Linked DNA regions of Nothobranchius furzeri. The protein of the gene in region 1 binds, or shares a complex with, the protein of each later gene. Links are inferred from orthologs where the notes say so. Each region holds a gene or a part of one and is shown on either strand. Other genes may lie near its edges. The genes, in order: gtf2h4 and polr2k.

Region 1 (8,727 bases):
TGATTTGGATGCATCATTAAAAGAACCATTGCCACCTTCAGATCTGACTATTTCTTTTTCATAAACACCCCGGATCTCTTGGTCAGTCTCACAGATCACCGCTGGAACAACGCTGTTCCACCTAAAGGCAATAAAAGGTTTCTTCGTGCCTCTACCTCGCCTACAAGCACATCGATTTTAGCCTCTGTGAAACAGCGTTGTCTAGACTTCTCCGTTGCCATGGGTAACTGTTTAGCCACAGATCAGCTGGCTTATTTCTATGCAGAGTGTTCATATAGTTCTTTGCATCGTCCATTTATGGCAGGAAGTGGGTGAGTATGAGTCAGGATATGATCCAAAATCACCTGAGGAAGAGTTGTTTCTTAAAGCAGGAGTTGTGTGCAGCTGTGTGTGTTGTGTATGTCCAAGTAACAGTTTGCATTAGTAAAATTTGTTTGCTTAGCTTAAGTAGAGTTTTAACACCGATGCTACACAAAGTTTTATAACCGGGGCCCCAGGACTGGATGCCATAGCATCAGGGAGTCATCTCCTGCCACGTCTCATGATTCTGTCCTCCGCTGTGTGCCTTAGGACTACTCTGTGGAGGGCATGAGTGAGTCCCTGCTTACGTTCCTGCAGCACCTTCGAGAGTTTGGTCTGGTGTTCCAGAGGAAGGTGAGGAAAACTAAGTGGTTGTGTTTATTCTGTTACTTTTGAACCAAACTGATATGTCTACTGCTCACTTGGGTTAGTTAAATACTCAGCTCTCACATTTGTGCTTCCATGTGGGTCTCTACTGCTTCTATCAACACTCCTAACACAAATAAAAATAAAGAGTAAAGCTGAAGAAATATGTGGGAGGGATTTAGTGCTGAACATGTTTTGTATCGGCCATAGTTTCAATACGCTTCTGCAATGTTTTAAGATTTGTTTCTGTCCAGTGTTGCATTCATTTATTGCCAAGATCTTGCTGGAGATAAAAAAAAAAGCTTATTTCCCACCAAAATTTGCAAATAAATTTTTCAAATATCAGACAAAATTATTTTCTAAATTTTTTTTTCTCATTTTGTCTCATAGTTGAGGTCTACCTATGATGAAAATTACAGGCCTCTGGTGGGCCAATCATAGTGCTCCATCTGCTTAGTGAACAAATCACAGAGCTTTAGCCGCTTTGTGGGCCAATCAGGGTTATTCTATATGCCTGGTGGGTGGGATGATGCAACAGAGTGAAACAAGAGTATGTCACATTCATTGTCCAGTAGCATGCAGAGATCATTTGAAAGACAACGGTAGAACCCGCCCCACAACCGAGAGCCGTCAATGGAGCGTGGCCAGACTAAATAATACATTTATTTAGTCTGGCTTGCCAGGCTAGCTTTTCATCAGTCTGAGATTCAAATATCAACTAACGATTCTCCAGAACCTTGGAGTAGGCCTTTTTTGGGAGGCTGAGTAGTGTGGTCCCACTATAGTTGGAACACACACTCTGGTTCCCTCTCTGAAAGTACAGGGACTACCACCCCTGATCTACATCCAGTGTTGTAGATGTTCTTGTGGTTCACGTCTGTACAACGAGGTGAGTGAAAAAAAGCACTCCGGTGTTTTCGGTCTTTTCACTAGCAGGGATGTTTTTCTGTCCCCCAGTCAATGGACTGATCTGTAGCTCTGCCCTAAATAATCCATTCCATTATCCAGTAGACCTACAGGTGAAGGGGGGCCCAGGAATGCGGTGGTACGGGTTGGTTTTATGGGCCACTTTGACAGTGGAAACGGACTAAATAGCAAACCGACTCATGCCGTACCACTCAGTGGAAACAAGGCGGTGGTTAGGGTTAGAGAGGAAAGCCAGCAGTTGAAAGTTGAGGTCAGAGTAATGAATTGAATTCCCCTGCTGGGTGTTTGATTTTTATTTGATAGGGCCTATGGTTAAAATCTGATGTTAGCCTAGATCTGGACGAGTGTGTGTGTGTGTGTGGGGGTGGGGGGGGGGGGGGGGGGGAGTGTACAGTCGGTAAAGACGGCTCTCCCTTGCCCTGCCTCCAACATGCCTCCATCTAAAAGGGCTAGGTTATCCAGAGTTATCTCTGTAGTTATGCTGCTATAGGCTTAGACTGCTGGAGGATACACTGACCACTTTTCACACTCTACTACTTTCTTCTACAATCTGCTCTTTAACTGTATTATTTCCTGCTACTTCAGATGTTAACTTTATTTTTTCTCTAAGTGTTTTTCTCCCCAGAAGAAGCTACAACGATGTTCTGCTGAGCTGTGGTGGCCTCGTAGAGGGGGCCATCATCTAGCACACTGCTGCTAACCACTTAAACATTCTCCCTCTCCTGATAATAACTTTTTACTTTCCTTGACGTTGGATGTGCTACTACTAGTTTACCTGTTTAATTATAGATTCACTAGGACAAATACAATAGTTTATCCCTGCCAACTAGAATATTTACTAAGGAATCACAATGTAACCATAGACACATTGCTTTGTGTGTGTGCATGTGTGTGTGTGTGTGTGCGTGCGCGCATGCGTGCGTGCATTTGCGTGTGTGTGTGTGTGCTCTGTCTTCTCCATCCCCAGTGAGTCATGGAGGATGGCTGCTTATACTGAGCAAGGATTCTCTGGAGGTTTCTTCCTGTTAAAAGGGAGTTTTCCTCTCCACTGTCGCTTTATGCTTGCTTAGTATGAGGATTGCTGTATAGTCACTGACACTAGTCAGTGACTTGATGCAATTTGCTGGGTTCCTTATATAGGAAACATTATTTCTGATTGGCTTAATGAACTGACCTGAATTGGAATGTTTATTATGTGAAGTGCCTTGAGACGACTTTTGTCGTGATTTGGCGCTATATAAATAAACTTGAATTGAATTAATTCCTGGTGTTTATGCAGAGAAAGTCCCGACGGTACTACCCCACCAGACTGGCCATCACTCTAGCTGCTGGAGTCTCCTCTTCCTCCTCTTCGCCTGCTGAAACTGCAGACGCAGGCTTCATCGTTGTGGAAACGAACTATCGTATCTACGCCTACACCAGTACGTACAAACTCCTTTTTTGCTCTGAGACTCTGAGTAGTACAGAAGATTTTAGCTTTTTGTCTTGATCAGTCATAAGTGGGACGTAATAGTTCCTTTGAGGCCTTGTCAGGTTCTGTAGTGATGAGTTCTCCCCAGGTCCCCTGGAGATGCACGATTTAATGATAAATGACCCACACTTGCATAGCGTCTCTCAGAGTAAGGACTCCAAAGCGCTTTACACTACAGTGTATCATTCATCCATTCACACTAACATTTACACACTGATGGTGATGAGCTACAATGTAGCCACAGCTGCCCTGGGGCGCACTGACAGAGGCGAGGATGCCGAGCACAGGCGCCACCGGTCCCTCCGACCACCACCAGCAGGCATGGTGGGTTAAGTGTCTTGCCCAAGCCCCCACAATGCGGGTGAAAAATTGAGGCAAACGCGGAAGTGACAAAAATTGCAGTTCCACCCTCATCCACTAGGGGCTGGTGTCAGAAGCGAGCAAATCCTCATTGACTCCCATGTTAAAAATACCAATTTCACAGCAGAAATAAACATGTTTACAGCCTGGTACCAAAACATGTTTTTTGTTTAAATGATCTAGTTTACACTCATGACAACTCTGAGGGGGGTGAATTTTTTTCTCACTCTTCTGTTTAAGTGTATTAAAAGCCTAAAATTCTGTATAATTAATGAGCATCAGACCCACGTGACCACAGAGCTAGCTCCGTGGAAAGGCCTCAGCAGAGCCTCGGTCTGGCCTGGAAACTGCTCCGGGATTTTGAGTCTCCGTGTTTGTGTATTCTTTTTTGGATATTTTTTGTGCAATTGTTGGACAAAATGACTTGCTGTGGCATTAATTGCACTAATAGAGCGTCCAAGGAGTCTCGACTTGATTTTTTACTGTAAGTAAAATTATATTTATGTATTTTAGGTCACTGCCGAGCTGAGCTTAGATTTTAACATGTACTGTTTAACCATGAAATTTAAATGTAATAGGGTAAAACCCAGTACATTTAACATAATGCTGCACTTTAGAAAATGGGTTGAAATATAACATGTTGGTGGAGCTGGGTTCCCACTATCGGCTTGTGGAGCTCTCGGGAAACCAATGTTTTCCATCCGGTTCTCCCCTCCCCGCAGCTTGGTCCATCTCTGTCTGATCGCGGCTTCTGTCTGCTGTGCGGGCTGCCGGCTTGTGGAGCTCTGGGATGGAAGCCTTTCTACCCGGTTCTCCCCAGCGGCAGCTCTGCGCATCTCAGATCGCAGCCGCGCCTGTCTGCTGTGCGGCTGCCGGCTTGTGGAGGTCTCGGAGACCTCTGTGTTCCACCCGGTTTTACCCAGCGGTCAGCCCGGCGTATCTCTGACTCAGAAGCTCCGGTGTTGTGCACAATTAACTCCGGTTGTAGCTAGGTTGCTACCTCCGTTAGCTTAACTCCCACCTCCGCGTTAGCTTTGGGTTAGCTTGTAGCTACATCACTTCAGTTCGACGGGTGTCGTCAATTTATCCCAGCCTTACAGCTCCACCTCTTTTCCCATTTTTGGAATTATCTGGGCTTGACGGAACCTGTGACACGGTCAAAATGGCGGTGGTGGCCACTTCCCATTTATCTTCAAAAATGTGTTATTGGAGCCTGTGGAAACCCATTGTACAATATTTATATGTCGTTGGTCTTGCCCAAGGACACAACAGCAGAATTCTCGGTCCGGAGCCGGGATCGAACCTGCATCCTTCCAATCACTGGAGAACCCACTCAACCTGTTGTGCTACTGCTGCCCCTTAACTCACTGAGGAACCAGTGGTACTTAACCACCAGTGTCACCAACACCGTTTTTTTTTATACATCACGTATCTGTTATAAAACACACTTGAATAAAACCTTATCCTAATAAACCATCAAAGCTAACTGTTCTGAAGAACCAACATGTGAGTTTGCTCTGACTTGGTACCGGTCTGTGTGAGAAGGGTCAGGTCATTGGCATCAAGCAGAGAAAACATCATAAGGAGATTGCAGAAACGACTAAAACTGGGTTAGGAACTGTCCGACGCTTTATTAATAACTGGAAGGATTGTGGGGACCCAATGTCTTCGAGGAAGAAATTTTGCCGGTAAAAAAAATCCTGAATGATTGTGATAGGTGATCACTTAAACCTTTGGTGAAATCAAATAAAAGAAAAACAACAGTCGAACTCTGGGCTAAGTTTAATAGTGGAAGTAAGAGCATTCCCACACACAATGCAAGGAGAATTCAAGTTATTGGGACTGAACAGCTGTGTAGCCATAAGAAAACCACTAATCAGTGGAGCAATCTGGAAAGAAAGGCTTTAATTTGCAAGAGAACATAAAGATTGGACTCTGTAGCGATGGACGGAGGTCATGTGGTCTGATAAGGCCAGATGAGCCCTGTTCCAGAGTGATGGTGCATCAGGGTAAGAAGAGAGGCAGATGAAGTGATGCGCCCATCATGCATAGTGTCTACAATCCTGTGGGGGCAGTGCTATGATCTGGGCTTGCTGCAGGTGGTCTGGTCTAGGTTCAGCAACAGGATGTGCTCCAAGAATGAGGTCAGCTGACTACCTGAGTATACTGAATGACCAGGTTACTCCATCTTCCCTGATGGCACGGGCATATTCCAAGATTGCTTAACGTACAGTTTATTAGCCGGCCTCTAGATGGTGTCCTCTGAGGAAAAAAATGCTGGATTTCTGCTTTAAATGACCTGAAGAACTCACAGAAGGCCAGGCTTGGTTTCCGTAGTCCACTTTTAATCTGGTGCAGTTCTGAAGCAGTTGTATCTGTCTGCAGGTGCTTCCACTAGATTTCCTGTCTCATTATCCCTGGCTCTGCCAAGTTTGTTTCTTGTTATTGAGTCTGTTGTTTACATGATTTTGTGTTGTTAAACTGTAACAGTGTGCTAAAAACCCTGGTGCAGCGCGGACCAACTGACTGGGTTTCTTCCCTCTCAGACTCAGAACTTCAGATTGCTCTTGTGGCTCTGTTCTGCGAGATGTTGTATCGGTTCCCTAATGTGGTGGTGGCTCAGCTCACACGAGAGTCGGTGCAGCAGGCCATCGCCAACGGCATCACAGCTCAGCAGGTACACACACACCCTAACTGCCAGTATTTAAAGTATTTTGTGCATTATTGAGTCGATCTGATTTTACACATCTAGACATCTGCCCAAATGTCAGGTGAGGGATCTTGTTGATAGTCCATGTGAGCCCTTGCTTATTATTACAGTTAGCTAGTAGCTTCTCAGTAACAACTGATGTGTGTGTTTCAGAGTGCAACACAAACTAGGCCATGGTTTGGTGTTTGAATGAGACTTGCTATGTACACATAACTTAATATATTGATGTTTTTAAAATTTTAAAATACCAGGCAGCTCCATTCTTTTAAATTATCTTTTATATAGCGCCTCTCAAGATAAAAATCACAAGGTGCTTCGCAAAAATTTTAAATATAAAAAAGATCTTTAAAATTTTTTTTAAATATGTTTAAAATGACAAAAAAGAAATGTGTTCAAAAATGTAAGGAAAGTAAGAGAGAAAATTAATATTAAAATGGATCCCAGGAAAGGCGGAATAAGGAGAGATTGGTGATGAAGGTCACACCAAAGCCTGAACAGGTGAGTCTTCAGCTGCTTTTTAAAGGAGACCACTGAGTCCACTGATCTCAGGCTCGGGGGGAGAGAGTTCCAGAGTCTGGGGGCCACAGCAGCAAATGATCTGTCACCTTTGGTCTTTAGCCTGGTGCTGCACAACCAGTAGGCTTTGATCACTGGACCTCAGGGACCTGCTGGGGGTGTAGGGACTAAGAAGATCACCAATGTAAGATGGTGCTTGTCCATGTAAGGCCCTATAGACCAGAACCAGGATCTTGAAATGAACCCTGAAGTTAACTGGCAGCCAGTGAAGCTGGAGGAGAAGCGGGGTGATGTGGGTGTGTTTGGAGGACTTGGTCAGAAGCCGAGCACAGGCGTTCTGAACCACCTGTAGACGGTTCAGGGAGGTTCTGCTCAGACACGTGAAAAGAGAGTTACAGTAGTCTAAGCGTGAGGAGATGAAGGTGTGGATAACTGTCTCAAGTTCAGAGCGAGACAGAATGGGACTCAGCTTAGCAATGTTCCTGAGATGGAAGAAGGAAGAGCGAACAAGAGAACTGACATGAGAATCCAGGGTGAGAGCTGGGTCAAAGGTCACGTCAAGATTCCTGACGGAAGGTTTGGTGTGAGAAGCAAGTTGACCAAGAGAATCTCTGACTTTGGGAACCAGCTTGTCTGGGGCACAGATGAGGATCTCAGTCTTATCTTCATTCAGCTGAAGAAAGCTCCCAGCCATCCAGGTTTTTATAGAGTCTAAGCAGGTGTGTAACAGCTGCAGCTTAGACATCTCATGGGGCTTAAAGGAGATGTACAGTTGGATGTCATCTGCATAAAGATGGTAGGAGATTCCTTTGAAGGAGCTCAGGATGTGCTGAAGAGGAAGCAGATAGAGGAAGAGCAGAGGCCCCAGCACAGAACCTTGTGGGACACCATGGGTAAGAGAGGTGGTGGAGGACCTAAACTTGGAGACGGCCGCAGAAAAGGAACGCTCAGAAAGAGAAGAGGAGAACCACTCCAGAGCAGTTCCTGATAGGCCTACCCAGTCTCTCAGCCTCTCCAGTAGCAGGTGATGGTCAACAGTGTCAAAGGCTGCAGTCAGGTCCAGCAGGACCAGAACAGAACAGTCCCCTGCATCACTGTGAGTCAGAAGGTCATTAGAGACCCTAAGAAGAGCTGTTTCAGTAGAATGAGCTCTACGAAAACCTGACTGGAAGCTATCATAGATGTTCTGTTCATCAAGAGCAGCTGTGAGTTGTTTAGCCACAACCTTTTCCAAGATCTTGGAGATGAACAGCAGTTTAGAGATGGGTCTGAAGCTGCTGTGGAGAGAGGGGTCGAGACTCGGTTTTTTAAGAAGCAGGTGGATTACAGCGTTCTTAAAGTTAGCAGGGACCTAACCAGAAACCAGAGAAGCATTAATTATAGAGAGCACGCTGGGACCGATGGACTGAAAAGCACCTTTAAACAAAGATGAGGGTAAGATGTCGAGGGGGCATGCAGAGGTCTTCATAGAGTTAACTAGTTTCGTTAACTCAGGCAAAGAAATGGTGTTAACCCTCACAGGCTCAAATTAAGTTTTGATCAAAGGACGAACAACTAAGTCCTTCAGGGGTACTTCTGAGTTAAAAAATGCTCATGAAATACGCATGTGGAGTAACCAGGTAGGTAGGTTTTAATGTTGCAAATCTGCAACACCTGCCTCCAGAGGGTTAAACAGCACCTTGGGGTTCCCCTTGCTCTGGGACACCAGGTTGGAGAAATAGGCAATATCTTTGTGTTTTTAAAATGAATTTACTGCTTTACATTCCCAGTCTGTGTGATTTCATTATCACTTCTGATACTGTTTAAAAGTTTTTAGAGCAGTTTCCTGCTGTTAAAACGTTGATCTAGGACACCTTTAAAGGTGAGTGCATTTCCAGAATAATCCATTTAAATCAGACTTTTAGTTTTTGTGCTTCTGTGATCTTTAGATAATCCACTTCCTCAAGACCCGAGCCCACCCTGTCATCCTCAAACAGGTACAGACACTTCCTGTTTATTCCATGCATAATTATTCTCATGGTCGTCTTTAAGAGTCTTGGTCCTTTTTCCTGTTTCAGACCCCGGTGCTGCCTCCAAC
Region 2 (8,070 bases), on another chromosome or scaffold:
AGTAAGTTTCTTGTAGGGGGTGACTACTTGCTCTTTAAAGAGCAAGTCACCCCCAAATCAAAAATATTTTTGCTGATAAACTATATAAATGAGTGTCTAATCATGCTGTAGATATTTGTAGTCAAAAATGTGGCACTTTGGTGCAACTATCTCAACATGTTCCCCCCCAAACATTGAGTTTTTATTATTTTCAACATACTGGTTTACAGTGTAGTATTTAGTATTGAGTTCAGTGCAGTTAAATTCAAAGATTTAAATGTTTTTATCAAGCATTTGACCTAAAAATTAAAGGGTTAATATGAACACGCATAACCAGATCTATATCTATATAATTACACTTGGGGGTTAATTTAATCTATTAAAAACATGAAAATATGAAGATTTGGCCCTTAAATTGTATCAGGAGTAATTAATTGGCTAGTTTTTTGTTATTGTTTCCTCTGCTTTTAAAATTTTGTTATTCTTTGCACCTCTTCCAATGAAAAAAATATGGTTTAGATAACAAATTAAGACTTAAAAATCATAAGCAAGTGAAAAGAGTTACAAGTTGCTGTTTCACTTGTTAACATACTGCGTCTTCCTGACTATGTCAATTCATACTTTGCTATTCCTAGGCCACTTCTGATTTGTACACGACAAATCGTCTTCATACTCCAGGGTTACTTGTGGAGTACCACAGGGTTCAGTGCTTGGACCAATTCTTTTTACTATATATATGCTCCCAATTGGTAAAATCATTAGACAGCATGGGATAAACTTCCACTGTTATGCTGACGATACTCAGCTATATTTATCCATTAACCCTGATGAACCTAATCGGTTGGGTAGATTACAGGCTTGTCTTGAGGACATAAAACATTGGATGACTCTAAACTTTTTGCTTTTAAATCAAGACAAGACGGAAGTTCTCATCTTTGGACCAGAAATCCAGAAAAGGAAATTGCTTAGCCAATCGCCTGACCTGAATGGCATTACATTAATCTCCGAGAACAAAGTAAGGAACCTTGGTGTTATCTTTGACCAGGACATGTCATTCAAATCCCAGGTTTCACAAGCTTGTAGGACTTTCTTTTTCCACCTTCGGAATATTGCTAAGATTAGAAGCATCCTTTCCAGGAGTGATGCTGAGAAACTAGTTCATGCATTTATTACATCAAGACTGGATTACTGTAATTCATTACTTTCAGGAAGTCCACAGAATGTAGTCAAAAGTCTTCAGCTTGTCCAAAATGCTGCAGCTAGAGTTCTGATGAGAATTAAAAAGAGAGATCATATCTCTCCTGTCTTAGCTTCCCTACATTGGCTACCTGTTAAATTCAGAATAGATTTTAAGATAATCCTTCTCACATATAAAGCTCTTAATGATCAAGCTCCATCATACATCAGTGATCTGATTGTTCCATATGTTCCTAACCGAGCAATTCGCTCTCAGACTGCAGGTCTACTGGTGGTTCCAAGAATATCTAAAATTAGGATGGGAGGCAGATCTTTTAGTTATCAGGCTCCTCTCCTGTGGAACCAGCTTCCAGCTTTAGTCCGTGAGGCAGACACTTTGTCTACTTTTAAGAATAGGCTTAAAACATTTTTATTTGATAGGGCCTATGGTTAAAATCTGATGTTAGCCTAAATCTGGACAATTGGGGGAGTAGAGGGAGGTGGAGTGTACAGTCGGTAAAGACGGCTCTCCCTTGCCCTGACTCCAACATGCCTCCAACTAAATAGGATAGATTATCCAGAGTTATCTCTGTAGTTATGCTGCTATTGGCTTAGACTGCTGGAGGATACACTGACCACTTTTCACACTCGACTACTTTCTTCTACAATCTGCTCTTTAACTGCATTATTTTCTGCAATTTCAGCTGTTAACTTTATTTTCTCTGTAAGTGTTTTTCTCCCCAGAAGAAGCTACAACAATGTTCTGCTGAGCTGTGGTGGCCTCATGGAGGGGGCCATCGACTAGCACACTGCTGCTAACCACTAAAACATTATCCCTCTCCTGATAATAACTTTTTGCTTTCCTTGACGTGCGATGTGCTAATACTAGTTTATCCGTTTAATTATAGATCCACTAGAACAAACACAATAAAGTTTATCTTTCACCAAATAGAATATTTACTAAGACATCACAATATAACTATAGACACATTACTTGTCTTTGTGTGTGCGCGTGTGTGAGTATGCGTGCGCACGTGTGTGTGTGTGTGTGTCTTTGTGTGTGCGCGTGTGTGAGTATGTGTGCGCACGTGTGTGTGTGTGTGTGTGTGTGTGTGTCTGCTCTGTCTTCTCGATCCCCAGTGAGTCGTGGAGGATGCCTGCTTACACTGAGCCAGGATTCTCTGGAGGTTTCTTCCTGTTAAAAGGGAGTTTTCCTCCCCACTGTCGCTTTATGCTTGCTTAGTATGAGGATTGCTGTATAGTCACTGACACTAGTCAGTGACTTGATGCAATTTGCTTGGTTCCTTATATAGGAAACATTATTTCTGATTGGCTTAATGAACTGACCTGGATTGGTATGTTTATTATGTGAAGTGCCTTGAGACGACTCTTGTCGTGATTTGGCGCTACATAAATAAACTTGAATTGAATTGAATTTGTAAAAGCTAACAAAAACCTTTTCTTCACTTAAATATTTTTGAGTCAAACGTTTTTGAGAAACTGATTTTCTTTCCACATTTTATTTAGACACTTTTTTTACAATCTTCTTCGTAACTAAATATTCTTGTTACTAATTTCTTCTCTTGCATGTTTGATTAAAACAAGTCTCACTTAGAAATGAGACCCCATAATTTAACAAGATTATGAAAATTTTAAAATAAACACGACAACGTGCTCTCAGATAAACAAACCAAAAAACATTGGTGAATCTGTGAATTGTTGGCCAGCAGATGAGAATTTTCCTTCTTAGAGAAATGTGGTTAAAACTTTGAATTTAAATCCTAAAGGTTGATTTTTATTTCAGGAATGACTGTGGATCATATCTATTTAGCAGATGTGTTAAACTAACTGAAGAGTTTTCATCCTGTTAATGTTGCTGGCCACAAAGGATTTTAAAAGAAAACAGTCAAATCAAACTGATTTTTCTAAAATAAAACTTTTATGCATCATTATTATTTACTAAAATAACATAAGGAACACCTGACACAAACCGCGGATGCCAAAAACCAAAAAGGCTGAATTTATCTTGCTGCTCTAAGATGTTTCAGCAAGAAGTGCAATTTAGGAATGCCACGACCCGAATGAGCGAGAATCTACACCAACATGAAAGCTGAAGCCCCAGTTTATGTTTATTTACAAGGTCAGACTCAATAAAAACAGAAAACAACAACTAAAGATCAATCTGCAGCTCCACTCCTCTTCATCGTGCATCAAAAACAACCACTGGAATCAATGAGTCAAGGAAAATAAGCACACACACACACACACACACACACACACACACACACACACACACACACACGAGAGAGAGAGAGAAAGGATACATCTCTTTGTTCTCTTCTTGTACATGATTCTGTAGCCACATTCTCTGCATCTGATCGGGTCGCGGGCCTTTATTTCGTTTTCAGTGTGACACTCTGCATAAAAAAAAAATATATACATTTATAAAGACATATAAATGTATTTCAGAACTGCTGCAAAATTAATTTAGAACAGTATAATTGTGCAAACACATTAACAATCGACGTTTACATGCTGTCAGGCTAAAATGGAATATTTACTAATAAGAAATATGTTTTAATTAGTCATAACTAGTATTTTTCTGATGACTTTTCTATATTTCGTGAATAAAACCATCAAGAATTGCAATGATAGTTGCTTCATCAGCAAACCTCCACAAATGTAGATCATTGGTTGCTGCTTGGGCGGCTGTAGATCTTTCTGTGTGTCCATTTTGTTCTATAAAAGACAGAAATGTAAACATTTCATCAACAACCCTTCTTCTTGTTAGCATGCTAACAGAAACAGCATGGTGCTCCGGACATTAGCTCAAAACTGCATAAACGTCTCTGAATTTGGTGAAACTGTATACGCACAGAGCACAAATTAAACCGTGTACATGCATTTAGTTAATTACTGATGAAAGGAAGCGAAATGACTCACCGTTTAACTGCGTAATTTGGGAAATGTTTACTGTTTTCACACACTAAACCATCCGCTTTTACGATTGGGTTTCTGCGCTTGCGTCAAATTTCTTCTTCTTGGTTTTACAGGACGATCGACACGCTTTACGTGCCTTTACTGTCACCCAGCGGTTTTGAGGCATTGTGAATTATTCGAAACACATCTGAACTGATTTTAAAAATTGGAAGCAAAGAATTTTTTTTTGTATATTTTATACTAAAAATGTTCCTGTCTTGACACAACATCCTCTTGAAAGCAAATCCACAACACGGGTGTTTCATTTTTCAATTACCGTTACGCTACAAATTCTGGCTTAATTTAGTATTCTTTTGGGACCTTATGAATAAATTAGACTTTATTTAGAGTTTTTGTTTTTGACTCGAGCCAAACATTGTCAATCTGATTCGTAATTGTGTTTTTGTAAAATAAAACAATGTAAAGTGCGCTTCCGTCCCGACAGGGGGCGCTGTCGCAGCGTCGAACACAAGAATGTCCATCATTTGAAGAGCTCCCCCCAGCTGGCCCTCCTCCACTAGTTTGTGACAACAACGAATCTGCCGACAATGTCCACGTCTTGACTACCACTGACAAACCCGCGCTCTCTTTTTCATACTTTGTTTGACTTTTGTTTCCGAGTTGGTGTACCATGGAGCCGTCCGCGCCTAAAAGGTTTGTGAACGTTTGCTTTGAGACCTCTGCTTTACCACCAGGCTAATGTAGGCGGTAGCTCAGGATGCTAATGCTAAGCGAATTCAGTTCTCTCAAACTTTCCACAGAGATAAACAAGCAGAAAGTAAAAACACAAAACCGGTTAAAACCTCCATTGAGATTATGGTTTGTTTAATTGTTTAGACGTTTTTGGATTTCGCGTCGTTGGGGGTGATTTCATTGTCGCTTCAAAAATATATAATAAATTAAATGTGTATTAAGGAAAATCATAATTTATTCGAAGTAACTGTTTACTTTATTTTGGACCGATCTATTTACTGGTTAGCTTAAGCTAGCACCTTTTAAGTTAATTAAATTTAAAATGTATTTAAATTTTATAAGACAGTAGGATTAAATTGTTTATTATCTGTTTAATTTGTGTACATTGATACTAGGTTGCATTAAATCCAGATTATGATCAAAGACCAAAAATATCTCAAAATTTTTTTAAACAGTATTTTTATCTAGATTTCATCAATTATTTTCATCATTCCTCTTAAGTTATAAACACACACTCAAGTTCTCCTACAGAAAGTAATGTTTACTCTATAAAATAAACTTTGATGTGCATATATAAAGAAATATTGTGTCTTTCTTCCATTATTAAAGAGACATTGTGTTAAATACACAATATTTTTGCTGAATTTTTCAGCAAGCTGAAAAAGCTGAGCGAGGACAGCTTGACCAAGCAGCCGGAGGAGGTGTTTGATGTTTTAGAGAAACTTGGTGAAGGGTGAGATGTTTTAACTTGATCTAATTACTGTGTAAATCATAGTTTATTTAGTAGTTTCACTTAAAAGATGCATTTCTTTGTGTAATCAGCTCCTATGGCAGTGTATTTAAAGCCATTCATAAAGAGTCAGGGCAGGTGGTGGCCATCAAGCAGGTTCCTGTGGAGTCTGACCTGCAGGAAATCATCAAGGAGATCTCCATCATGCAGCAGTGTGACAGGTGACACCCCAACTTTCTTTAATTCTAATGAATGAGACTGTCCAAAGTCGCCTTTGCACCAGTTTTTTAGAACCACGTTTGTTTGCCTTCCTCTTAGCCCGTATGTTGTGAAATACTACGGCAGCTACTTTAAAAACACAGATCTGTGGATAGTCATGGAGTACTGCGGAGCCGGCTCTGTTTCTGACATCATCAGGCTGAGAAACAAAACGGTGCGCGTTTCTAAAAAGTTACAGCTTGGCTCATAAAATAGGTTAAATTGCTGATTTACTTTTGTATTTTCCTTTTTTTCCCACGTCAGCTGACAGAAGAGGAGATTGCCACCATCCTCAAGTCAACACTGAAGGGTCTCGAGTATCTTCACTTCATGAGAAAGATCCACCGCGACATCAAGGCGGGAAACATCCTTCTCAACACCGAGGGGCACGCCAAACTGGCTGACTTTGGCGTTGCAGGACAGCTTACGGTAACACTGTCGCCAAATGTTTGCAGCAATGCACTGATGCCAGCTTCAGTCGATCTCTGGCTGAATTTTGATGGTATGTGTTTAATGTCTGAAGGACACGATGGCAAAGAGGAACACTGTGATTGGGACGCCATTTTGGATGGCCCCAGAAGTGATCCAGGAGATCGGCTACAACTGTGTTGCAGACATCTGGTCTCTGGGTATCACATCCATAGAAATGGCTGAGGGTAAACCTCCCTACGCTGACATCCATCCTATGAGGGTGCGTATTCTTTAGTTTTTAATGAATTTAGGGTTTTAAAAGAAAACATTTGACACTTTCCCACTTTTGATTTCCCACAGGCCATCTTTATGATCCCCACCAACCCCCCTCCTACGTTTCGGAAGCCGGAGCTTTGGTCAGACGATTTCACAGACTTTGTAAAGAAGTGTTTGGTTAAAAACCCAGAGCAGAGAGCAACTGCAACTCAGTTACTACAGGTTGGAGCAAGAAGGTCTTCATCTGTACAATCCTGCTTCCAATCTGAGCGATTTAATTTCCTTTTCCTGTTGTGGAAACGCAGCATCCGTTCATCAGCCAGGCCAAGCCGGTCACGATCCTGAGAGATCTGATCACTGAAGCCATGGAGATGAAGGCGAAGAGGCAGCAGGAGCAGCAGAGAGAGCTAGAGGAGGAAGAGGACAACTCTGTACGTTTTGTTCACGTGCATTAACCAATAAAGTTCCAGTAAAACGTTTATACTGCAGGGGTTTGTCTCCTATAGGAGGACGAGACGGAGGTGGACTCTCACACCATGGTGAAGTCTGGAACCGAGGGCGCGGGGACCATGCGAGCCACCAGCACCATGAGCGACGGGGCACAGACCATGATTGAGCACAGCACCATGCTGGAGTCGGACCTGGGCACCATGGTCATTAATAGTGATGATGAAAACGAGGAGGAAGCCCAGAGATCCATGAGACGTGAGCACATATTTGAGAGAATGAGGGGGAATTTAAACATCTCTTTCACTTTGCTGCGTGAACTTGGCTTTTAACTTTGGTTTAAATGGATGGTGTCGGAAAAACTGGCTTCTTTCCAAAGAGGAAGAAGTGTTAAAACCATGCCCTCGTGACTGCTGATGCTACAAACGTGCTCTTTCACGTCAACCTTTTTGTTTTCCCACTTCACTATAAAGCAGCTCTTTGTCTGCTCTGACCTTCCGTTTTCCCTGAGGCAAACCAAAGCTTTGGGGAAAAAATTCAACACAAGCTCAATCTGCAACAGTCTCAAATTTTTGACATGCAGGATGGAAGCTGGCAGCAGCAAAATTTAGATGCATGTCTGCAAATTTGTTCAGGGCTCCAACTTGGAGTCAGGTTGGAAATGTGGGCAACTCGCAGCCTAAAGGTCTGTGCCGTCTCCAGAATGCTATGCTTAATCACGTGTGGTCGCAAGCCCTATTGGCATGTTCCAACCAACTTCAAGTTCAGCATTATATAGACACTGGCCATGATCATGTTAACTACAGAACAAAGTTAGCCACAGCTATGCTACTTGAGCTAACACTAGCACCACCCTAAACTACTGCCAACACTATCCCGAGCTACAGCCAATGCTATTCCAAGATACTGCTAACACTATCCTGAGCAACTGTCAACGTTGGCCTGAGCTACTGCCAATGCTAGCCCAAGCTGCTGCCAATGCTAGCCTGAGCTACTGCCAATGCTAGCCCAAGCTGCTGCCAATGCTAGCCTGAGCTACTGCCAATGCTAGCCCAAGCTGCTGCCAATGCTAGCCTGAACTACTGCCAATGCTAGCCCAAGCAGCTGCCAATGCTAGCCTG

What was found.
Region 2: gtf2h4 (region 1) and polr2k share a complex: the UniProt entries of both Homo sapiens proteins name them as parts of the TBP-based Pol II pre-initiation complex. The link is inferred for Nothobranchius furzeri from reciprocal best matches to the Homo sapiens genes GTF2H4 and POLR2K.

Annotation. Positions count from the first base shown.
Region 1 is NC_091751.1:25,567,412-25,576,138, forward strand, and holds part of gtf2h4 (general transcription factor IIH subunit 4), read left to right. Parts: intron 1-570; coding exon 571-654; intron 655-2,872; coding exon 2,873-3,014; intron 3,015-5,970; coding exon 5,971-6,101; intron 6,102-8,578; coding exon 8,579-8,626; intron 8,627-8,707; coding exon 8,708-8,727. UniProt on the Homo sapiens protein: Component of the general transcription and DNA repair factor IIH (TFIIH) core complex, which is involved in general and transcription-coupled nucleotide excision repair (NER) of damaged DNA and, when complexed to CAK, in RNA transcription by RNA polymerase II.
Region 2 is NC_091759.1:1,438,399-1,446,468, reverse strand, and holds polr2k (DNA-directed RNA polymerases I, II, and III subunit RPABC4), read right to left. Parts: upstream 4,231-8,070; 5' UTR 4,099-4,230; intron 3,895-4,098; 5' UTR 3,889-3,894; coding exon 3,828-3,888; intron 3,573-3,827; coding exon 3,480-3,572; intron 3,379-3,479; coding exon 3,356-3,378; 3' UTR 3,260-3,355; downstream 1-3,259. Other genes in the region: stk3 (serine/threonine-protein kinase 3), read left to right, coding at 4,766-4,788, 5,480-5,560, 5,650-5,778, 5,876-5,990, 6,080-6,244, 6,339-6,506, 6,587-6,724, 6,808-6,933 and 1 more. UniProt on the Homo sapiens protein: DNA-dependent RNA polymerase catalyzes the transcription of DNA into RNA using the four ribonucleoside triphosphates as substrates.